Linked DNA regions of Macaca mulatta. The protein of the gene in region 3 purifies or fractionates together with the protein of the main gene of each other region. This does not show direct contact. Links are inferred from orthologs where the notes say so. Each region holds a gene or a part of one and is shown on either strand. Other genes may lie near its edges.

Region 1 (4,674 bases), on a different chromosome or scaffold from region 3:
TCTCAATACTCAGGAATTATCTGTTTCCTTACCCCAAACTCAGAGCCCAGGGGGTCAGCTTCAGTGAGGACCTTATCTCTTTTTTTTTTTCTTTTTTTTTTTTTTTGAGACAGAGTCCTGCTCTGTCGCTCAGGCTGGAGTGCAGTGGTGCAATCTCAGCTTACTGCAACCTCCACCTCCCAGGTTCAAGTGATTCTCCTGCTTCAGCCTCCTGAGTAGCTGGGACTACAGGCGCACATCACCACGCCCAGCTAATTTTTGTATTTTTAGTAGAGACAGGGTTTCACCATGTTGGCCAGGATGGTCTCAATCTCCTGACCTCGTGATCCACCCAACTCGCCCTCCCAAAGTGCTGGGATTACAGGCGTGAGCCACGGCGCCCGGCCCCTTATCACTCTTCTAACCTGTTTCTTTTCCACCTAAAATTATGATTTTTTTTTTTTTTTTTTCAGATGGAGTCTCACACTGTCGCCCAGGGTTGGAGTGCGGTGGCGCAATCTCGGTCCACTTCAACCTCCACTTCCCAGATTCAAGCAATTCTCCTTGCCTCAGCTTCCCAAGTAGCTGGGATTACAGGCACCTGCCACCAGGCCTGGCTAATTTTTTGTATTTTTTTTTTTTGTACAGACAGGATTTCACTATGTTGGCCAAGATGGTCTCGAACTCCTGACCTCGTGAGCTGCCCACCTCAGCCTCCCAAAGTGCTGGGATTATAGGTGTGAGCCACCACACCTGGCCAGTGTTTTTTTGTTTTGTTTTGTTTTTGTTTTTGTTTTTTTTTGAGGCAGAGCCTTGTTGTGTCATCCAGGCTAGAGTACAGTGGCGAGATCTCAGCTCACTGCAACCTCCACCTCCCAGGTTCAAGCAATTCTCGTGCCTCAGCCTCCTGAGTAGCTGAGACCACAGGCTCACACCACTGTGCCTGGCTAATTTTTATATTTTTAGTAGAGACAGGGTTTCTCCATACTGGTTAGGCTGGCCTCAAACTCCTGGCCTCAAGTGATCCACCCATGTCAGCCTTCCAAAGTGCTGGCCATTACAGGCGTGAGCCACCGCACCCGGCCATGATGACTTTTTTTTTTTTTTTCTGTCCCTTAGTTCAAAGGCATGGCTGTATTAAGAAATAGTGTGATGCAGTGGAAAGTATGCTAGGGAATAAGAAACCAGGATTTCGGCCGGGCGCGGTGGCTCAAGCCTGTAATCCCAGCACTTTGGGAGGCCGAGGCTGGTGGATCACGAGGTCAGGAGATCGAGACTATCCTGGCTAACACGGTGAAACCCCGTCTCTACTAAAAATACAAAAAAATTAGCCGGGCGTGGTAGCGGGCGCCTGTAGTCCCAGCTACTTGGGAGGCTGAGTCGGGAGAATGGCGTGAACCCAGGGGGCGGAGCTTGCAGTGAGCCGAGATCGCGCCACTGCACTCCAGCCTGGGAGACACAGCGAGACTCCGTCTCAAAAAAAAAAAAAAAAAAGAAAAAAAAGAAACCAGGATTTCAGTATTCTGTTTTTTTGTTTGTTTGTTTGTTTTTTGTTTTTTGAGACGGAGTCTCGCTCTGTCGCCCAGGCTGGAGTGCAGTGGCGCGATCTCGGCTCACTGCAAGCTCCGCCTCCTGGGTTTACGCCATTCTCCTGCCTCAGCCTCCTGAGTAGCTGGGACTACAGGCGCCCGCCACCGCGCCCGGCTAATTTTTTGTATTTTTAGTAGAGACGGGGTTTCACCGTGGTCTCGATCTCCTGACCTTGTGATCCGCCCGCCTCGGCCTCCCAAAGTGCTGGGATTACAGGCGTGAGCCACCGCGCCCGGCCGATTTCAGTATTCTGTTGTTGGTTGGTGCTTTTAATATCCAGATTGTTAAAATTTTTGCTGGGCACGGTGGCTCATGCCTGTAATCCCAGCACTTTGGGAGGCCAAGGCGGAAGAATCTCTTGAGCCCAGAAGTTCAAGACCAGCCTGGGCAACATAAGAACACCCCATCTCTATTTTACAAAAAAATAAAAAATATATAAATTTTTAGAAAATACATCCCCCCACCTACACACAAGAAATGGGATTTTAATATTTAACCTCCCGCTGTCCCAAAACTATCATGAGACTCAAAACAAACCATGAATACTATAATGCATTTCAGATGCAGGAGTAACTATTATGATCTCCCCAGTTAGACAGTATGCTTCCTGTGCCTCTCCAGCCCCCAGTGGTGCTGAGCACAGGGCACTCCCCACGGAAGGCACTCAGAATATGATGCTAGCATTCCAACTGACCTCTCTTGGGGACAGCTGGCCGGATGAAGTAGGGGAGCTGCCTCATGGCTCCTCGTAGCTCCTGCTTCAGTGCCAGGACATATTCCCCTTCCTCTCCTGAAGGCAAAGGTACTGGGCGGAACTCCAAAGGCTAAAGAGGCAGGGGCAGTGGTCTGTTCAGGGAGAAAATGCTAGTACAAATTTAGGAAGACCCCTCCTCCCAATTTAATCTAATATTCCCCTGAGCAGAGGGCTGAAAGAGAATGGGGAGAGTAACATATCATTTTGAAAGCTGGGGAGAAATAAAGGTGGACACTTCTTTGACTGCAAAACATCCCTTGTGCATTGGGAGTATAGAGACAGAGAGGGCCAGTGAGGATGGTTTTATGATGGTCCAGGAGGAATTCAGAATCATGTACAGTCAGCCAGGGGCACATGAGAGTCTGGGAAGGAAGTGGAGAGACTCACAGGGAAGAGTGGAGAAGGCTGCAGGGTGGGTGGGGGCAAAGTATCCCCTTTCCCAATGCCCACGGCCTCCATGTTGAAGGTCAACTGGCCCCGGCCACGACCCCGGCCCCCACCCCGGCTGGCCATGGTGGAGGGGGCCTGGGTGTTCAGAGATCCAGTGAAAAAACCTGATAAAGACAAAAACAAAGAGAAAAAGAAATGTAGTAGAATGGACAGGAAGCCAAGGAGGTACAAGACATTCAATCTTTTATCGCTGGGACATAAAAAGTCAATGTCATTCAACAAATTTTGACTGAGAAGGCACAGTGTCAGAGAGAGAATTTCTGGAAACATAAACATGAATGAGACATGGTCCCCCAAACAGGTCAGATAATTACAATATAGTTTAGCACAAAGGAGAAAGTGCTTAGACCCTCGGACAAAACTCTACATCCCTAAGACAATTTGATGTTTATTCCTATCTGCATTTATTTATTTTTATTTTTAGAGATACTCTGTCACCCAGGCTTGAGTGCAATGGTGCAATCACAGCTCACTCTAGCCTCGAACCCCTGGGCTCAAGTGATCCTCCTGCCTCAGCCTCCCAAAGTGCTGGGATTACAGGCATGAGCCACTATGCCCAGTCACTAACTGCATTTATATGTATAACCTTTGAATTCTTTCTATCTCTGGCCTTCCAAACCTGACCAGGCCCCAATTCAATCCAAAGAAATGCATTCAGCGAAACATTTATTAATCATCTACCATGAAAAAGATAGTGTCAGACACTGTGGGAGCACAGGGATGAGTCATCAATTTCATTGTCAACCAGGGGAAAAGAGACATTACAATCAAATTTTATTTTATTTTATTTTATATTTTATTTTAGACAAGGTCTCTTTATGTCACCCAGGCTGGAGTGCAGTGGTGTGATCATGGCTCACTGTAGCCTCAACCTCCTGGGCTCAGGTGATCCTCCTGCCTTAGCCTCCCAAGTAGCTGGAGCTACAGGTGTGTGCCACCATACCTGGCTCTTTGTTTTGTTTTTTTGTTTGTTTATTTGTTTGTTTTTAAGAGATGGAATTTCATTATGTCAAGTGATCCAAATGTCTCGGCCTCCCAAATTGCTGGGATTACAGGCATGAGCCACCACGAGAGGCCAGATTGATCTTTTTAAACACCACTTGGAAGCACAGAATCTTAGAATTCGGAGGACCCTTAGAGGTCATCTAGTCTAAATCCCTCCCAGTGCAGGACTTCACTCTGTAAATTGTTTTGTTGTTGTTTGGTGTATGTGTGTCTTTTTTTTTTTTTTTTTTTTTTTGAGACAGAGTCTCACTCTGTTGCCCCGGCTGGAATGCAGTGGTGCAATCTTGGCTCGCTGTAACCTACACCTTCAAGGTTCAAGTGATCCTCCTGCCTCAGCCTCCTGAGTAGCTGGAACTACAGGCATGTGCCACCAAGCCTGGCTAATTTTTGTATTTTTTGTAGAAACGGGGTTTCGCCATGTCACCCAGGCTGGTCTCGAACTCCTGGACACAAGTGATCCACCTGCTTGGGCTTCCCAAAGTGCTGGGATTACAGGTGTGAGTCACCACCCCTGACCCTACTTTGTGAATTGTTATTCAGCTTTTGGTGACATTTCCTAAAGAGATGGTATCCATTCTCCCCCAAGACAGTATATTCCACTGTGATGAACACTGATGAATCCAAAGTTTCTCCTTCTACTGAATTTTCACTCTGTCTCTTATTGTCAATCCTGAGGAACCAGTCAGAGGCAGCTAGGATGGGGGAATAAAATCACCAGATGAAAAGAAAACTTAAGAGAAATGATATCCCAGCAGCAATGAGCACACTTAGCACCCAGATCTTGGTTTCTAATACAATTTTCCAATAAAAGGAACCAGGGCTCCCTGGACTACTAGCTGATTCTAGGACAGGGTAGGAAACACACAGGATGAGTCTAGAGCATCTTGAGGTGTCAA
Region 2 (4,503 bases), on a different chromosome or scaffold from region 3:
GAACACAGAGAGGGAAAAGAACCTCATAAGATTATGTAACTTACAGGCGTGTTGCTGCTTCAGTAGAAGTTTCGTCTCCCTCAATCCTGTACACTTTTCCATACATTACATATTCAAATTGGTCAGCCCTGTGGAGCAATAGCAGCAAAGTTATTCTTAACAGTAATTAACAATATAAAAAATCCCATTTAAAAATGGTTACTGGTCGGCTGGGCGCAGTGTATCAAGCCTGTAATCCCAGCACTTTGGGAGGCTGAGGCGGGCAGATCACGAAGTCAGGAAATCGAGACCATCCTGGCTAACACAGTGAAACCCCATCTCTACTAAAAATATAAAAAAATTAGCCGGGCGTGGTGGCGGGCGCCTGTAGTCCCAGCTACTCGGGACTGGCGTGAACCCAGGAAGCGGAGCTTGTAGTGAGCCGAGATTGAGCCACTGCACTCCAGTCTGGGCGACATAACAAGACTCCGTCTAAAAAAAAAAAAAAAAAAAAAAAAGGCACATTACAAACAAACATGATGTCATTTAGTCCTCGCAGCAACCCCGTGAGCTAGGCATGATCATGATCATCTCTATTCTACTGATGGGGAAACAGGCTGAAGGAGATTAAGGTTACTCAACAAATAAGTGATAGAGCTGAGAAATGAACTCAAGTGGGGTGCCAAAGTCTTTCCATCACACCAAGCTCCCTCCCAAGACACAAGACCCACATAGCCTAGGGCACTCAGCAGTCACCTCCTCAGCCTTCAAAAGGCTACAACTCACAAGCATGTAATCACTGTTATAGATAAATACCTGGTTGTTGGAATTTTTTTCTTTTTTTTTTGAGACAGGGTCTTACTCTGTCACCCAGGCTGGATTGCAGTGGTACAATCATGGCTCACTGCAGCCTCAACCTCCTGGGCTCAGGCAATCCTCCCACCTCAGCCTCCCAGGTAGCTGGAACTACAGGCATATGACAACATGTGCAGCCTTTTTTTTTTTTTTTTCTTTTTTTCTTATTTTTGTAGCAGTGAGGTTTCGCTATGTTGCTCAGGCTGGTTTTGAACTCCTGTACCCAAGCAATCCTCCTGCTCGGCCTCCCAAAGTGCTTAGATTACAGGTGTGAGCCACGGTGTCTGGCCTGTTTGAATTCTTAAGTGCAGAAATTTCCTTAAGGTTACTCAGATTCTGCTGATCATCATTTATTCCAGGAATTAAAGAAGAGTCTTTCTATATCACTTATCTACTTAGTTCTCAAGGCATATTCCAAGTATTACCTTCTCCACTACCTCACCTGGAAGGCCTATCATCAGTGGGGTTGTATTCACCATCATCCAGGGTACCATCTTCATACAAGGTACTAGCTATGACCAACCGGAACTTGTCACCTGAAAATAACAGCAATATCAGAGAGTGAAGAATAGCGGAAGCGGCAAAATGCCTCTTATTATTGTCTGTGTTCAATACTTACCCAAGTCTACAGGGTAAATTTGAATGTTTACATCTAAGATTAGATCCATCTTGAAAGATTCACTCTCACAATGCAGTCGAGACACTGGGGAGAAGCAGGAAAAGAGTGACAGAGGTATTGCCAGGCCCAAGGCAGATCCTACAGTGTGGGATTGTATGCAACAGAATACTCAATCTAACCCAGTCTACAACCACTGGTCTCTCATCTGCTCTCATAGAAATGCAGGCTCCATCAGAACCAGACATGCAAGAAGGAAAAGGGGAGAAAAACTGTGGCAAGTGAACGTAATCCCCAGAAAACAACCAAAGATACTTCAGCAGCAAATAATACCCGGTTCTAGGCCTGCCTGGATGACTGAGAACCTGACTCTGGGCAAGTTATTCAATCATCCAAAGGTTTCCTCTTTCTATGACAGGCACTGTGCTGAGGGGAGTTATCAAGATGTATAAGAACTGGTATCCGTCTTGAAAACATCTGAGTCTCCAGGCAAAGAATGAGACATCAAAAAGAAAATTATTGATAGATGACAAAATTAAGAGGTGTAGGCCAGTGGAGTGGCTCACGCCTGTAATCCCAACATTTTGGGAGGCTGAGGCAGGTGGATCACTTGAGGTCAGGAGTTCGAGACCAGCCTGGCCAAAGTGGTGAAACCCCGTCTCTACTAAAAATACAAAATTAGCCAGGCGTGGTGGAGCATGTCTGTAATCCCAGCTACTTGGGAGGCTGAGGCAGAGAATCGCTTGAACCCGGGAGACGGAGGTTGTGGTGAGCCAAGATCGTGCCACTACACTCCAGCCTGGGCTCGAGGCTCTGTCTCAAAAAAAAAAAAAAAAAGGATATACCAAGCAGCTAACTCTAACTCAGAGAAGACTTAAAGCGCTAAGGATTATGAGGGCAATACAAGAATATAGGCTCTGAAGTCAGATTACTCGCTGTGAAGCCTTGGGTGGATTACTCTCTCAGAAAAAAATGGGGAAGGCACCACCCACCTCATGAGGACTCTCATTTTCTTGAGGAGTCTCGCTCTGTTGCCAGGCTGGAGTGCAGCGGCGCAATCTTGGCTCACTGCAACCTCCGCCTCCCAGGGTCAGGCAATTCTCCTGCCTCAGCCTCCCAAGTAGCTGGGATTACAGGCGCCCGCCTGTAATTTTTGTATTTTTGGTAGAGACGGGGTTTCACCATGTTGGCCAGGCTGGTCTCACAAGACAGTGTCTAGCACAGAGCAGGTAGCGATTATAAAGATGCCCAGGAGTTTGCCAGCACCATGACAAAAGGCCACCTAGGCACCGGGCACGGCATGCGTGAAGCCAGAGAAAGCTCGGGAGTCTCCCTTTTCTCATCCATAAATTGTTTCCTGAGGGAGGTCCCTACATCAGGACCTGCTGGTAGGGGCAGGCCACAAGAGCTGGGTGGACACGGGGTCCAGGGGCATGTCCGCGAGGTTAGCCTCTTCCTCCAAATCGCCCCTACCTACTTTACTTACCTCGGTCAAACTTCTTGCCCTCCGGGTCAATATCCTTCACATCGAAAATATCTTCAAAGAGGATGCCCGCCATCGCGAGGGGGCCACGAGAGCAGCAGAAGGGGTGAGCGGGCGACCACAGCTGGGAGTACGCGCACCCGCTCTGGTGCAGAAGAGGGGAGAAGAGCAAAACCAGCTTTTACATGCGCGGCAGCCAGACAAGAGTGGCGCATGCGCACAAACAAGTGGTAACGCGCCCACTTCCGCCACAGACTCCCGCTCGGGGCTACTTAACTTCCGCCCCAAAAGATTGCTCCCGAGAGGCTTCGGCGTTGAGGGCGGGTCTCACGTCCAGGTGGCCCCGCCCAGGGCGGGGAAACAATAGGTCCAACCTCCCGCGGCTGTAGAGCGGGTTCTAGCGCTCAGCTGGGGCTCTGCTGCGCCCTCTTCAGAGGCCGGGTCCCGAAGATTGGAAGTCGTGGGGGCCTAACCCAGGCAGGGACCTTGATCCTTGGCCCAGAGAAGCCGGGCCCTAGCCCTACCCCGCCGGTCTGCGTGCCCGCCTAGGGCACAGTCCGCGCCGAGGGCAGGTGGAGCAGAACCCCGCCCCAGAGGTGCCCAGCCCCTCCAGCCGGCACCGCGGACCCCGGGGCCTGCCCGGGCCGGCTCGGCCCTGCTGGATGTAACCCGAGCCGGATCCGTCCAGTTTGGGAATTTGCCATGATGTCGCTATGGAGAAGAGGAAAGCCTGTATTGTCCCCTCCCCTCGTACTGCACCCTCCCACCACTGCCCGCTTCCCCCAGGCCCTGCTGTCTTCCCCGTCACCGCCCCCTCAGCCTGGCTCCCGCCACCCGCCTCCCCCGGGCATTACCCCTCCAACTTAGTCCTCCACTGCCTTCTCCTGGACACGGATCCCCTCCGTGCCCCTTCAGCCTGGCACTGCCCTGTCCCTTGGACACCAGCTCTTCCCTCACACTGGCCCTTCCTCCTGGGTACTGGCTTCTATCACAAGGCTCCCCCTTCCCGGGCACTGCCCCCGCCCCCTGAGGCCCTCCTCTGCCTCCCAAATGCCCCTTCCTCCTGGTGCTGGCTGTCCCGCACACTTGTGCGTTTCCTGGGCGCTGCCCTCGCTCCTCTCACACTATCTCTATGCTGCCCATCCACCCTGCGCGCGCTCTGCCATCTGTTCTATCCTTCACCAGCCCCTGATAGAGAACCCAGAGCACCAGCAGGCGGTTCCCCCAAAGCGGAGAGATGGAAGCAGCGACTCTGGTTCCTCCTTGGGCCCAACCAGGGAGAAGCGACCCACGCCCGCGTCCCAGAAGTGGACTTCCCGGCACCTGGAGCTCCCTTCCCTCCGGCCTACCCCTTCCGGTGCCCTCCCCAACCTCCACCCCTGCACACCCCGTAGGCCGGGTTGCTCCAAGTGCACCTCCCCAGGGGAGCCCCGAGAAAAGGAAGGATGAGGAAGACGGCTCCAATTCCCTCCGAATTCTCCCAGCTTTGCTTTTCACCCCTGACGGGGCAGAGGGGCCTTCCTGGGCCTGTCTGGGCCGCTCGTCCCTTCGGAGGGACAGAGGGGAGGCG
Region 3 (4,624 bases):
GTAAACTGTCACATGGTGATAGACACCTGCTCTGGAGAAAACCAGAGCAGAGAAGGGAATTGAGGGGTGGGGAAGGCAGTTTGCAATTTGATTTGGAGAGGGAAGGTCTTAGCCATAAGGTGACATTTGAGCAAAAACCTGAAAGAGGTGAAGTGGGGGCCATGAGGTTATCAGGCGGGTAGAGCAGCTACACATCCCCAGAGGTGGGTTTAGAGAGGAGAGGAGGGTAGGAGGCTCGTGGGAGATGAGGTCTGGCAGGTCAAGGGGCAGGAGATTGTTTAGGGTTTACATGGGGTGATAAAGACTTTGGCTTTTATCCAGGTGCGGTGGCTCACACCTGCAATCCCAGCACTTTGAGAGGCCGAGGCAGGCGAATCACTTGAGGCCAGGAGTTCAAGACCAGCCTGGCCAATGTGGCAAAGCCCCGTCGCTACTAAAAATACAAAAATTAGCTGGGCAGATGGTGCATGCCTGTAATCCCAGCTACTTGGGAGGCTGAGGCACGGTAATCACTTGAACCTAGGAAGCAGTGAGTCAAAATCATGCCAGTGCACTTTGGCCTGGGCGACAGAGCGAGACATGTCTTAAATAAACAAATAAATAAATAAATATTAGATAGTTCAAATGTTAAGTAGATCAGACAAAAATCATGCCTGGCCAACATGGTGAAATCCTATCTCTATTTAAAATATAAAAATTAGCCGGGTACTGTGGCAGGCACCTGTAATACCAGCTACTTGGAAGGCTGAGGCAGGACAATCACTTGAACCCGGGAGGCAGAGGTTGCAGTGAGCTGATCGTACCACTGCCCTCCAGCCTGGGCGACAGAGCAAGACTCTGTCTCAAGGAAAAAAAAAAAAAATGCTGGTCTCACCCAAGAGCAGGGGTTTGGGGATTGCTGAGGCCTGGGGGTGCCTGAGTACCATCCTCCTATGACCACCTCTCTTCTCTTTGGGTATGTGAAGGGGCAGACCAGCTGAAATACTCAGCCTGCCCCGTGGAGACCTGCAGCCTTTCCTCTTCCTGGAATTCCCCTTCCCCTCTGCTGTCGTGGCTTACCCAATGCCCTCTCTCCTTCCAGGCACACCCCACGTGCCTCCTCCCCAGCAGAAAGGCCCGCCTGCCTCTCACCTCCCCTCCCTGTTACCTGCACCTGAGGTCAGACAGCCTGGATGTGAAGTCCAGTTCATCATCCTGCTTACTATGTGACTTTGGGTAAAAACGCACACAGTATCTCTGAGTTCCAGTCTGTTCATTATAAAACAGTAACAATCACCACACCTCACAGGGTTATTGTGTTGAATACAGGACAGAAGAGTGTGTGAAGAAGTCATTTTTAGACCAAATCACAGAAGAGTCATCTCACTCAGGATTCGAGTTAAAGTCAGCTTGAAAATCAAGTATCAGAGAGAGCTTTGGACTGTCTGTCTGCCTGTTTGACGTCTGGCTGCTCTTTCAAGCCTCCTCAGGGCCCTCAGTTCTCCAGTGTTTTAATCATGGCTGGGACCAGCTAACCTCTATCCTCCTCTCTGGCAGTGAATTCTCTGTGAGCAGAGAAGAAACCCTTAAAGCCAGTCATTTGCTTTTCCCTCGCAGGTGCAGCCCACACGTGTTGGCTTGGTCTACCCGCTTGCATCTGAATGTTTCTTTTTTTCTTTATTTCTTTTGGCTGATGGGGTATAGGGTTGGTCGTCCATTGTTGACTTCACGGTAGATGTAGAAAGAAGGTCAGTTGGTTGGTTGTGGGCTCCACCTCCCAGTTCAGGGCCTGTTGCAGAATAGGCACAGGGAAATGTTGGTTGAACCACTGACTGATGGTCCCAGTCTCTCGCCCTCCTTTGCAGATCGAGCTCAAGGACTGCGCGGCTGGCTCTCCTCTAGTATGGCCAATGAAGAGGATGACCCAGTCGTACAGGAGGTAACTGCTGCTCTCTGTCCCCTGCCGCCGGGGCTACAGGCAGTGGAACTGGGTCCTTGCCATGCATCCTCAGGCCAGTCTGGGATCTGTTGATGTTCTGGGACCCCAACCCTTGCTGTTTCCTCTGCCTGGTCCCCTCTGCTGTCCCCCAGACCCCTGCGTGGCTGACCTCTCCCTTCCTTCAGGTCTCTGATCCGGCATCACCTCATTCTAGAGAGGCCTTCCCTGACTGCCCTTTCACACCCAGCTCCCCTCCTGGACGCTCCCATGCCTCTCTCTGCCCTTACCTTGGCGATAACTCATACTTGGCCTAGCCCCTGTCATCCCCTAGATATCAGTTCATTGCTTTCTTTCCTGTCCACTGCTGTGCCACAAAGCCCAAGTACAGTGCCTGGCACCCAGGTACCCGGCAACTATGGTGGAGTCATTGATGCAGTCATTCAGCAGCTGTTCACTGGACCACTGTGTGCTGGGGGCTGTGACACATCAGTGAGCAGGGCAGGGAGGGTCCCCTTCCCTGGGAAGCTAATGGGCTGGGGATAGGACTGATGAGGCAGGAGTCTCCGGGTGTAGGGTGCAGGCAGTGGGAGGCAGATTTCCCGCCCCCCCCGCCTTTTTTTTTTTTTTTGAGACAGAGTCTTGCTCTGTTGCCCAGGCTAGAGTTCAGTGGTGCCATCTTAGCTCACTGCAGCTTTCGCCTCCCAGGTTCAAGCGATTCTCCTGCCTCAGCCTCCTGAGTAGCTGGGATTACAGGCGCCCATCACCACGCCCGACTGATTTTTTTTTTTTGAGATGGAGTCTCACTCTGTTGCCCAGGCTGGAGTGCAGTAGTGTGATCTTGGCTCACCGCAGCCTCTGCCTCCGGGTTCAAATGATTCTTGTGCCTCAGCCTCCTGAGTAGCTGGGATTACAGGCACCCGCCACCATGCCTGGCTAATTTTTGTATTTTTAGTAGAGACAGGATTTCACCATGATAACCAGGCTGGTCTCGATCTCCTGACCTCAAGTGATCACCCACTTTGGCCTCCCAAAGTGCAGGCATTACGGGCATGAGCCACCATGCCTGGCCCAGGTTTCCCTTCTTAGAGAAAGCTGTTTATAGTCAAACTCACGTTTCAGAATCCTTTTAACCCAGGACTTAGACCTTTGGAGGGCAAAAGGCAAAAAGTAACTGCATCTGCCTTCAGCCTCCCTATATGCAGAGCCTGACCTCCAGTGGGAAGGGCAGGGGCAAGGAGAAGGTCCTCGGAGATGAATAGAGGTGGTTTTTCCTTGCTTGGGGGATGTTGCTAAGTTATTAGATTTGGGTTATTTAGATGCATTTAAGCTGCATCTACACTGTAGTACGGGGGTGGTGATGGGACAGAAGAGTCCAAGGGACTCTGAGGACAGAGGCAGCGCCCTCTGCAGCCAGGGACCCTGGAATGCTTCCTGCCCAAGTCATGCCTCAACCAACTCCTTGGAGGAGCAAGCAATCAAGGCTCAGGGGAGGCATGTGTGAAGGGCTCTGTAGATGCAGGGAAAAGCGTGTGCAAAGGCCCAGGGGCAGGAGAGAATGTGGTTCATAGGAGGAGCTAGGAAGCAGGAAGGTAAACTGTTGCATGGTGGGGTGGGGGTGGTTAGTGTTGGGAAGACAGGAAGCGAAGCCATCAGTCATGAAGGGCAGACCCCCTAAGACAGGGTGATAGGCCTGTCCAGGAGGGGCAGGTGGAGGGCCCAGCCAGGAGGCACAGGCATAGGTGAGCCCTCACCTGCCTGCCTCTCAGAAGAGCATTTGCCCAGGCTCCAGGACGTTTCCCAATCAGTGCAGCCCCAGGGAAGATGTGTGCTTACTGGGGGATTATGAACTTGGGTGGGGGTGCCAGGTGAACTCTTGCCCTGGTTCCCCTGGGAGCTTTCTGGAGGGATTCCTGAATATACCCAGTGTGCAGCCTTGGATCCCCTTGGTTTTAGCATGAGCTGAGCTATTTCCTCCTTCCCCAAACTGCCTCCCTGAGCCACTACCCCTCACTGAAGCTGGAAGTGCCGGCACAGCCCCGGGAGGTCCGCACTGTGTCCAGTCTCCCGGTTAAGTCATCTTCCCTTCTTCCCAGATCGACGTGTACTTGGCCAAGAGTCTGGCGGAAAAGCTGTATCTATTTCAGGTAATTATGGGACTTGAAGGTAAAGAGGGGAAAAGCAGGTGTGGATGGGTGGTGTGGACTCAGGAACATGGGCAGGAAGCGATGGGAAACCTCAGCTAGGGTTCTCAGTGTGGAGAGTGTCATGGGGTCTCTTTGCTTTCGCGGGTGGGTTAATATTGGTCTCATTTCAAAGACGGGAAAACCGAAGGGACACAGGAGAGGCAGAAGGGTGCAGCAGTTAAAGCTGGGGCTCTAGGGTCAGACTGGATTGAGATCCAACTCCATCACACCGTAGCTGCGAGACCGTGGGCACATTTCTTAATCCTTCTGTGCCTCAGTTTCCTCACTTGCAAAGTGGTGATGGTAATAATGCCTGCCTCATAGGGTCCCCGGGAGGACAGACTGGGTCCACAGTGAAGTGTTTAGGATGCCACCTGGCAGAGAGTTAGTGCCAGTGATGATGGCCGCTGTTGTGGAGGCTCCAAGGGGCAGCTCCATGGCAGCATCTGTGAGCCCTCAGTCCTGCCAGCTGTGAGGGCCCCAGGTTGCTACCTCTGCCCCCTCCCCTTGCTGCTGGGCCAGC
Region 4 (4,542 bases), on a different chromosome or scaffold from region 3:
TAAGGAATTTAAGAGTCACAGATTTTTACACAGCCATATTGATATATTAAAGACAGACATACCTGATCAAATCTGGTAGCAAAGAGATTGAGTGAGGTCACTATGCCGCCATTGGGTCCAAGTCCATATCTAGACACCAAGTTGAGGACTGAAATCGCTTATAGATTAGATTATAAAGTTCACACCCAGGCTATCATTCACACAAAACAGCATTATGAAATTAGTGTTCCATTAATGAATATTGGCAACCTAATCCGTGACTACCACACAAACTTAACCACACAGGGAAACATTCAGTATCAAGGTCTGGCTCACTCATTTATGACTTTAGGAATGGCCAGGCAAAATGAAGAAAGCAAAGTGACCAAAATGTAATACAGGTGCATCAGGCAGTGACAGCTCCCTAGCATTGGCCATGAAGGCCACCTGTATAACACCTCCGGCTCTGATCCTCATAAACAAATTAAGCAGAGTACACATTTCACACAGCAATTTACTAAGAGTTAATCCAACTAAACCCACTCATTTCTGAGTTTCCCAGTCTAAAGAGGTGGTGACCAACAGATGATCCTCCAAGGCAAAATACTACCTTGTGGGACCCAGGTAGCTGTCAGTTATCCTGTCCTACTCTCTGCTCTTTAATTACAACAGCCTGCCATCTGGGGAGACAGTAAAAAAACTAAAATCTCAAGCTGAAATAATATTTCTGATCACCTACCTCTGCCACAATCAGCTTCCATCCTTTTGCTTGTATATTTCACAGGGAAAAGGCAAAAACACTCTTTCAAGCCACAAAATACACAGAAACGAAGCCAGGAATGAGTCAAGACCAAAGTAGATGGAAAAGGATACTGTTTCATGACTTCTTTATACTTTACAGTGTCACGAATATCTGAGGAGAAAGAAAAGAATTAACTGGAATGTAATACATGCACATTCCCTACCAGCAGGAAAGTGAAACTGGCCTTCTAGCCTTCTCTTGTCAGCATTCTCTTCTACCACCTCCACTTTCACACTGGTTTCCTTCCTTACAAAGAATAAATGTCAAGTAATTCATGAAGAATGTTAGGGCTAGGAGCTCTAAAGTTATGGTAGAGAGTTTTGTCTCCACAAAGTGAGAAGTTTCACACAAGTCAAACACGCCTAGAAAAAGGGAGGCAAAAATCAAGGGGGAAAAAAAGCTTCTTACTAATTGCCTATTACTAACAAACGCAATGCAAAGGCAATGCAGACATGATTTTTAAAAAGGAATTAGGCTGGGCACAGTGGCTCACACCTGTAATCCCAGCATTTTGGGAGGCCAAGGCAGGAGGATCACTTGAGCCCAGGAGTTCAAGACCAGCCTGGGCAACATAGAGAGGCCTTGTCTCTCCAAACAAAACAAAACTAGCCCAGCATGGTGGCAGGAGGCTGAGGTGGGAGGATCACTTGAGCCTGGGATGTTGAGGCTGCAGTGAGCTGTGAATCACGCCACTGCACTCTGGCCTGCTGGGTGACAGAGACTCTATAAAAAAAACAACAACAACAACAACAAAAAAAGCCTAAGCTGTTTAGGAACTCAAGCAAATCCAAAGGAAATGAAAGTAGATAGTTTAGAAAACATCAAAAAAGAAGGCACTGAAGACTGGCAGGCTGGAGAGTCTGACTCTATTGCCTAGGCTGGAGTGCAGTGGTGCTATCTTAGCTCACTACAACCTCTGCCACCCGGATTCAAGCAATTCTCCTGCCTCAGCCTCCCGAGTAGCGGGAATTACAGGCATCTGCCACCGCGCCTGGCTAATTTTTTGTATTTTTAGTAGAGATGGGGTTTCACCATCTTGCCCAGGCTGGTCTTGAACTCCTGACCTCTTCATCTACCTGCCTCGACCTCCCAAAGTGCTGGGATTACAGGGGTGAGCCACTGCGCCCGGCCTTTTCCATTCTCTTTAAAGCACTTCACACAAGTTATGTTACCGGTTTACTCACCAATATTGGCAGGAAAGGGAACTTCATGTACTGCTGGATCCAGGTTGATCACATAAGGTGGAGTGCCTTGGGCATGCAGGTGTCCTGTGAGCCTCTGCAGAGATATGGGGAGAAGGTTGGAAGGAGACAAAGAGGGGACAAGAGAGAACTTCCTTTACCACCCATGCCTTAAGAGTTTTGCACTTAGATTTTCTTTTACCTGAAATATCCACCCACTATATCCACCACCAAGATACAACTCTCAGTTCAAATGCTACCTTTCTTCATCACCCATCTAACAAAACTTCCCCTACTCATAGTCACTTGTTTACTTGTTTTGATTCTTCGTATGTGGGTTTTCTCTATCTCCTCCATTAAATATTTAGCCCCATGAATGAATCTTGTCAACCTAATTTTCGCTATATCCCCAGTGAATGGTACATGACAGGCGTGCAAGAAATAATTCTTCGGCAAATCTTCACCAAAACCTGTGTGCTAGCACTGTATTAATCTCTAAAGTTACTTGTAAGCCCCTGCCTTCGAGAAACTGGCAATTTTATCAGCAAGACAATTCCTGTACAACGTGGTAAGCTGACCGAGTATGCACTGAAGGTGCACAGAAGACAGCCTTAATTAACCTGGCTAGGGCCCGAGGAGGCTTTGCCGGGGAAGGAACTAAAGTTGATGGGAAACGACCGAAACCCATGCGCCGATACCCTCCAAATCCTCGGAGACCTCCCTCCCTTTCTCCCTGGCCTTCCGCCTGTCGGAGGCAACCTTTTGCGCTCCCCTACTACACCCACGCTGTGTACGTCACCTGTACAAAGGTGGTTTTCCCGGATCCCGCCATTCCCAACACCAACAGACACACTGGGTGCCGCGGACCCCCAGAAGCCTGGGGCTCAGCTGCAGCTGCGGGAGCCGCCATCTTCCTCCTGGCCCCGCCCACCTGACCATAGAGACACCGCATGGCTAGAGAAACTTCCGCGATGTTCTGGGCAGCGAACGAAAACAGAACCAAAGCGTCAGAAAGGAGCGTGAAGGGGCGCGGTAGTTGCCAGGGCATCTTCTTAGTATCGGGCAGGGCTGGTGAGCCAACTAGTGACAGTGGCGAGGAAGTGGGGGCGCTGAGCAAGCGAGAGGAAGGCTGAAGGGAGCTAGGAAAGGGCTCTGATCTCTGCAGCCTGGGAGGGCTTTTGGCCCCAGGGGGAAGGCGAGAAGAGATGGGGTCCCGAGGGCAGGACTCACACAGCAAGAAAACGAGGCGCATGCCTCTCATTTCGAGCCCGCAGAGAGCGGGGAGCGGAGCCACTGGAGGACCGGCTGCTCGGGTTTATTCGGTAGCCGAGGCGGTTAAACAGTTCAGGGCTGGACCAGCCAGGACTGGAGCAGGGTGCAGCCTCCAGGGTTGCTGGGCAGCACCGAGACCCTTTGAGCACCGAACGGATAAACTACGGGAGTTTTCCGCACTTGCACGTTGTTCCCGCGAGTTGCAGGCGCAGGTTCCTGATGCTAGCGCTCATTCCTTGGTAATCACCCTCGGTGAACTACGCAGTTGCCGTGACCTTCAGGATGAATGCTTGGATTCCAGGTGCGAATAGGTACTGGAGGGGAGCTTCCTTCTCACTGAAGGGCTCTCAGAAACTCAGGAAAGATGATGAAAGAGCTTAGAAAAGTATTTCTACTCGCAACCACCCAGTCTGTTTCTGTGGCCCTTTGTAGCTGCTAACAGTGTTCAGTAAGTCATAAGATCTGGCTTTCATACCCAGGCTCTGCCACTTGCTAGTGGTGTGAGTCATGGGCAATTCACTTAAACTCTCTGAACCTGTTTTCTCTTTTTAAAACTGAGATAGTACCTCCCAGGGTTGTGGTGAACGCACGTTGTAAATGATGAGCTAAATCCGTCATCTTTTACCACTAGCTGGATTCCCCTCACCTTGCATAATGTCTGGAACATTCTGGGTACTCAGAAATATTCTCTGGTATAAATAAAGGACAGTTGTGCACTTCCTAAAGTTTCATCAACTGAGAGAGGAATGTCTCATTTGTTCTTTCAGGTTTGCTGAGGGCCCCAGAAGGCTCCTTCCACCGTATCATAGGCTAATAAATAATTTTGTCAAGCCAGAGAAGCTAACAAAGGTGGAGACAATCCTTAAAGAAAAGATAGTGGCGGAAATGACGGTTCTGAACAAGCATATAAAACAAGCTCAAATCCAGCGGGAACAGCTACTGGAGGAATACAGGGAGCTATACCAAGAAAAGTTACTTGTCCAGGCTGAAAACAGGTTCTTTCTGGAATACCTGACTAACAAAACTGAAGAGTACACAAAGCAACCTGAGAAGGTATGGAACAGCTATTTACAACAAAGTGGAGAGATTGAACGAAGAAGACAAGAATCAGCCTCCAGATATGCAGAACAAATTTCAGTGCTTAAAACAGCGCTCTTGCAAAAGGAAAATATCCAATCCAGTTTGAAGCGGAAGTTGCAGGCAATGAGGGACATTGCTATATTAAAGGAAAAGCAGGAGAAAGAAATACAGACATTACAGGAGGAGAAAAAGAAAGTCCAAGCTGAGACAGCTGCAAAGACACGTGAA
Region 5 (3,920 bases), on a different chromosome or scaffold from region 3:
GTCTGTTTTTTATTTCAAAGTCCTTAGGATTCGTTTGATGCATGATTTTGCCCACTATAGTCTGTTGCTACAAACTGAGCTTTAAAGGATGAGTAGGATTGTGTTAACTTGGAGGTAGGTGGGGAGGAGAAAGGCTGAAACAAGGCAAGAATGAAAACATGGAGACATGAAGAAATAAAATAACACTAGACCCAATGGAAAAGTAGGTTCCTTTTATTCATTCAGTAAGTATTTATTAAGGGCCTGTTGTGCACAGGTACTATCTAGGAGCTGGAGGTACAAAGATGAATGTGACATAGTGTCTGGTTTGAGGGGATATGCAGAGACATCAGCTGAGGACATTGCCTTGTTTCACAAGCCTTTTCTAGCATTACCGTAGTTATTCTGTGTATACCTCGGGTAGAGTTGAAGCACGAGGCAGTGAGCTAGCAGTAGCTGGAAGTCTGTCAGAGCTGGGAGAGTGACTGTCCAGCATCCATTCCTCCTTCATATGATACTACCTCATTTTCCTTTGAGGACTGCCCCTCCCCACTGGCAGGCTTCTTGGGATGGTCAGTCCAGTGCCCTCTTCTCTTCAGCCAGGGGTTGGGCATATGACCCAAATGAGGCCAGTCATACCCCCTCATCAGAGAATTTGAATCCCAGGTAAAATAAATCAAGGGAGGGAAGTGGTTGGACCTGATTCATTCTCCCAGTGCTGCATGCAAGAGACTGCCTGTTAACACCTCATTTTCTGGATCCTTGGAATTGCTCTAGTTCCTTTTCTTTCTGAGGCTGAGCATTTCAGCTTTTTTGTTGATTCTTATCCTTCCATTAACTTTTTTATTTATTTATTTTTTTTTGAGACAGAGTCTCAGTTTGTCACCCAGGCTGGAGTGCAGTGGTACAATATTGTCTCACTGCAACCTCCACCTTCCAGGTTCAAGCAATTCTTATACCTCAGCTCCCCTCCCACCCCTGCCCCGCCGAGTAGCTGGGATTATAGGCACACACCACCGCCTCTGGCTAATTTTTTGTGTTATTAGTAGAGATGGGGTTTCACTGTGTTGGCCAGGCTGGTCTCGAACTCCTGGCCTCAAGTGATCCACCAACGTCAGCCTCCCAAAGTGCTGGGATTACAGGTGTGATCCATTGCACCCAGCACTGGTAAATTCTTAATGCCTCCAGTAAACTTCATTTTTGCTTAAATTAGCCAGAATTGGTTTCTCTTCTTTGCAACCAAAGAATGGTTAGCTGATGATATACCTGTGTTTGAATCCTGACTTCCCACTTACTGAGTTGTGTGATTCTGAGTGTACTACTTCAGTCTCTCAGCCTTGGTTTCACTGGCTATAAAATGGAAACAATAATGCCTGCCTAAGATTGTCTTGAGAAGTAGCTGATATAAGGTGTGGTAAGTGCTCTGTAGAGTGCCAGGCACACATTAGGTGCTTATTTATAACTATTAATAGCATGGTCCAGTTAAGGGCAGGAATAACAGTGACAATTTCTAGGTTACTCTTTTTTAGGATTTCATTACATCCGACATAATATATATTCGAAAAGAAAACGGGCCGGGTGCGGTGGCTCAAGCCTGTAATCCCAGCACTTTGGGAGGCCGAGACGGGCGGATCACGAGGTCAGGAGATCGAGACCATCCTGGCTAACACGGTGAAACCCCGTCTCTACTAAAAAATACAAAAAACTAGCCGGGCGAGGTGGCGGGCGCCTGTGGTCCCAGCTACTCGGGAGGCTGAGGCAGGAGAATGGCATAAACTCAGGAGGCGGAGCTTGCAGTGAGCTGAGATCCGGCCACTGCAGTCCAGCCTGGGTGGCAGAGCAATTCCCTCTCAAAAAAAAAAAAAAAAAAAAAAAGAAAACTCTTTTATAGAAGCAACTTTATAATGGCATGACAGATCTAGCAGGAAAAAATAGTAGAATGTGTTGAGTTAACGTAAGGATAACTGAGGCAGCTAAATGTGATCCCCTCCCTCTCCTCCGCCGGTTTCTGTCGTCTCATCTGAGGCTTAACCTGAATCCACTGCAGCGCTCAAATGAGGCATTAGCGGGCTCTGCTTCCCTACCAAGAAGGAGCCAGAATTTCGAGGTACTGTGGATTTCCATGAAAAGCTCACCCAGTTCATTTTTCAACAACTTGTGTTCCGCTTTTGTAATTGTGCAGCTCCTCTTCTTAACTGTTTAAAAGTGCTCATTAGTCCTCAAATAGTTATTTGGACTTTAGGGTAGAGCGTACAAGTGTCTGGTGGTTACTTGCTCCTCTCTGTAAGAGCTGCTTATCCAAATAGCAACAGCCCTTGACGTTTCAGTGCCGCATGCCATCCTTTGTGTCGGGGTTTCCTCATGGTGGCAAAGCCCTCCGAGGCAAGTCCCCACTGACAGTTACAGGTTAATCTGCCAGAATGCCTTCTCCACCTTCCACCCATTACGTTGCTGAAAACCACAAAGTAAGAAAGCTTTATTCTCTGCCAACTTTTAGCCACTCTCTTTGGTCACTTGTAGCTTTAAGTATCTTGCTAACCTAGCTCAGTGATGTTTAGACTAAATCAAACTACTCTAAACATCTGGATATTCATCAGAACCTCATAACGCAATGCCACTTATTACCCTAGGTGACAGTGCTTCTTTGACTGTTAACTCTGTGAGTAGTATACAAAATATTTCCAATGTGAAATCAGGGGATGTTTTTAGATTGATACATTACACCGTTTTTAAAAATATGACATTAAAGGTTTTGTTTCCTTTTCAGACTTTGAGTATCATTTTTGTGTTGCCTTTTCGTTCAAAACCAAATGTTTCCTAAGATACTTGCAGGAAGCACTGTGTGTGTGCATGACTATGTGTACACATACTCACATGTGCACATGGGCTTGGGTATGTATGTATGTATATGTGAGAGAGAACATAGGCCCCTACACCATGCTCTTACATACAAAAAATACCTGGTGTACTCAGCAATCCAGGAATAGGTTTGGTTGTATTTACATCTTCCTTCATCTCACTTTGGTAAACTAATTTGCCAGTGTAATTTTTCCCTAGAACTACTATTAATTTGGTTTTGCTGTTTCCGTTCTAGACCCTACATAATTGTCAAGAAACAGAAGCCAGCAGTCACAAATAAACATATGGAAGAGCTGGCCCAAGGGTACAGGTAAGTAGCCAAAAGTAAAACTTACCAATCTCCTTAATACCCACATACATGATTTAAGAAAAGTGTATTTTCATTTTAGTGTTTTAATTTCTTTCCATCAAATTACCAGCCTGTTAAAAAACCTATTTTGCTCCATGTGAACTTGCTTGGACATTGTAAAATATTCATCAATTTAGATCATGAGGCTTACATAGTCTTGAAGTCAGTTAGTACACAAGTGTTTCTGGTAAGAAAGGGACTTACATCATGTGTCAGTGTAGACACTGTGGGTCTCATCATGAGGTTTCTAAGGTCAGAATTTTTTTTTTTAAGAAGTGGGGACTAGGTTGACAAGAGTTACAGACAGACACTTTGCTGTTTTTATTTCAGCAATTTGTGGTTACTGTGTGAGCTGAGAATAACATGTTTCAGGTATCTCAATGTAATGATATCCTCTGGGAGAGAAAGGTGCTTTGGGCCTAAATGAAAGCCGGTATCTCCTGTTGTTATATAAAATACTGCAGAAAATGCTTTTTAATGATGTCTCTTTCACCAATATTTTCCCAGGAATTTTGAAGATTTCTTACATGAGAGTCTGGTTGAATATTTAGATGTGAATGAAGAAAATGATTGTAACATTGCACTGTACGAACACACAATTAATAAGTAAGTAGAATCCATAGCAACTGTAATTAAAACCTTTTCTGACTATAGAAACTCACTTCTTTTGACAGGAACTGTTAGAAACATACAATCTTTTTTTTTTTTTTTGGAACATGCAAGTTTGTTACAT

The links.
Region 1: the proteins of POLR3E (region 3) and POLR3GL purify together in Homo sapiens (co-immunoprecipitation; 5 studies listed by BioGRID and IntAct, counting the BioPlex papers as one, with this or other methods). This does not show direct contact. The link is inferred for Macaca mulatta from reciprocal best matches to the Homo sapiens genes POLR3E and POLR3GL.
Region 2: the proteins of POLR3E (region 3) and POLR2H purify together in Homo sapiens (affinity purification with mass spectrometry; 3 studies listed by BioGRID and IntAct, with this or other methods). This does not show direct contact. The link is inferred for Macaca mulatta from reciprocal best matches to the Homo sapiens genes POLR3E and POLR2H.
Region 4: the proteins of POLR3E (region 3) and GPN1 purify together in Homo sapiens (affinity purification with mass spectrometry; 3 studies listed by BioGRID and IntAct, with this or other methods). This does not show direct contact. The link is inferred for Macaca mulatta from reciprocal best matches to the Homo sapiens genes POLR3E and GPN1.
Region 5: the proteins of POLR3E (region 3) and POLR3B purify together in Homo sapiens (affinity purification with mass spectrometry; 8 studies listed by BioGRID and IntAct, counting the BioPlex papers as one, with this or other methods). This does not show direct contact. The link is inferred for Macaca mulatta from reciprocal best matches to the Homo sapiens genes POLR3E and POLR3B.

The regions. Positions count from the first base shown.
Region 1 is NC_133406.1:119,326,795-119,331,468, forward strand, and holds the start of POLR3GL (DNA-directed RNA polymerase III subunit RPC7-like), read right to left. Parts: upstream 2,881-4,674; 5' UTR 2,837-2,880; coding exon 2,711-2,836; intron 2,394-2,710; coding exon 2,264-2,393; intron 1-2,263. UniProt on the Homo sapiens protein: DNA-dependent RNA polymerase catalyzes the transcription of DNA into RNA using the four ribonucleoside triphosphates as substrates. Specific peripheric component of RNA polymerase III which synthesizes small RNAs, such as 5S rRNA and tRNAs.
Region 2 is NC_133407.1:96,503,138-96,507,640, reverse strand, and holds the start of POLR2H (DNA-directed RNA polymerases I, II, and III subunit RPABC3), read right to left. Parts: upstream 3,142-4,503; 5' UTR 3,010-3,141; coding exon 2,937-3,009; exon of another isoform or gene 2,929-2,936; coding exon of another isoform or gene 2,928-2,928; intron 1,538-2,927; coding exon 1,454-1,537; intron 1,371-1,453; coding exon 1,277-1,370; intron 129-1,276; coding exon 45-128; intron 1-44. UniProt on the Homo sapiens protein: DNA-dependent RNA polymerase catalyzes the transcription of DNA into RNA using the four ribonucleoside triphosphates as substrates.
Region 3 is NC_133425.1:21,766,893-21,771,516, forward strand, and holds the start of POLR3E (DNA-directed RNA polymerase III subunit RPC5), read left to right. Parts: upstream 1-1,641; 5' UTR 1,642-1,792; coding exon 1,793-1,918; intron 1,919-4,011; coding exon 4,012-4,062; intron 4,063-4,624. UniProt on the Homo sapiens protein: DNA-dependent RNA polymerase catalyzes the transcription of DNA into RNA using the four ribonucleoside triphosphates as substrates.
Region 4 is NC_133418.1:97,364,691-97,369,232, forward strand, and holds the start of GPN1 (GPN-loop GTPase 1), read right to left. Parts: upstream 2,882-4,542; 5' UTR 2,873-2,881; coding exon 2,762-2,872; intron 2,536-2,761; coding exon of another isoform or gene 2,482-2,535; intron 2,060-2,481; coding exon 1,966-2,059; intron 893-1,965; coding exon 719-892; intron 158-718; coding exon 63-157; intron 1-62. Other genes in the region: CCDC121 (coiled-coil domain-containing protein 121), read left to right, coding at 3,168-3,535, 4,002-4,542. UniProt on the Homo sapiens protein: Small GTPase required for proper nuclear import of RNA polymerase II (RNAPII). May act at an RNAP assembly step prior to nuclear import.
Region 5 is NC_133416.1:113,653,064-113,656,983, forward strand, and holds part of POLR3B (DNA-directed RNA polymerase III subunit RPC2), read left to right. Parts: intron 1-3,073; coding exon 3,074-3,148; intron 3,149-3,694; coding exon 3,695-3,793; intron 3,794-3,920. UniProt on the Homo sapiens protein: Catalytic core component of RNA polymerase III (Pol III), a DNA-dependent RNA polymerase which synthesizes small non-coding RNAs using the four ribonucleoside triphosphates as substrates.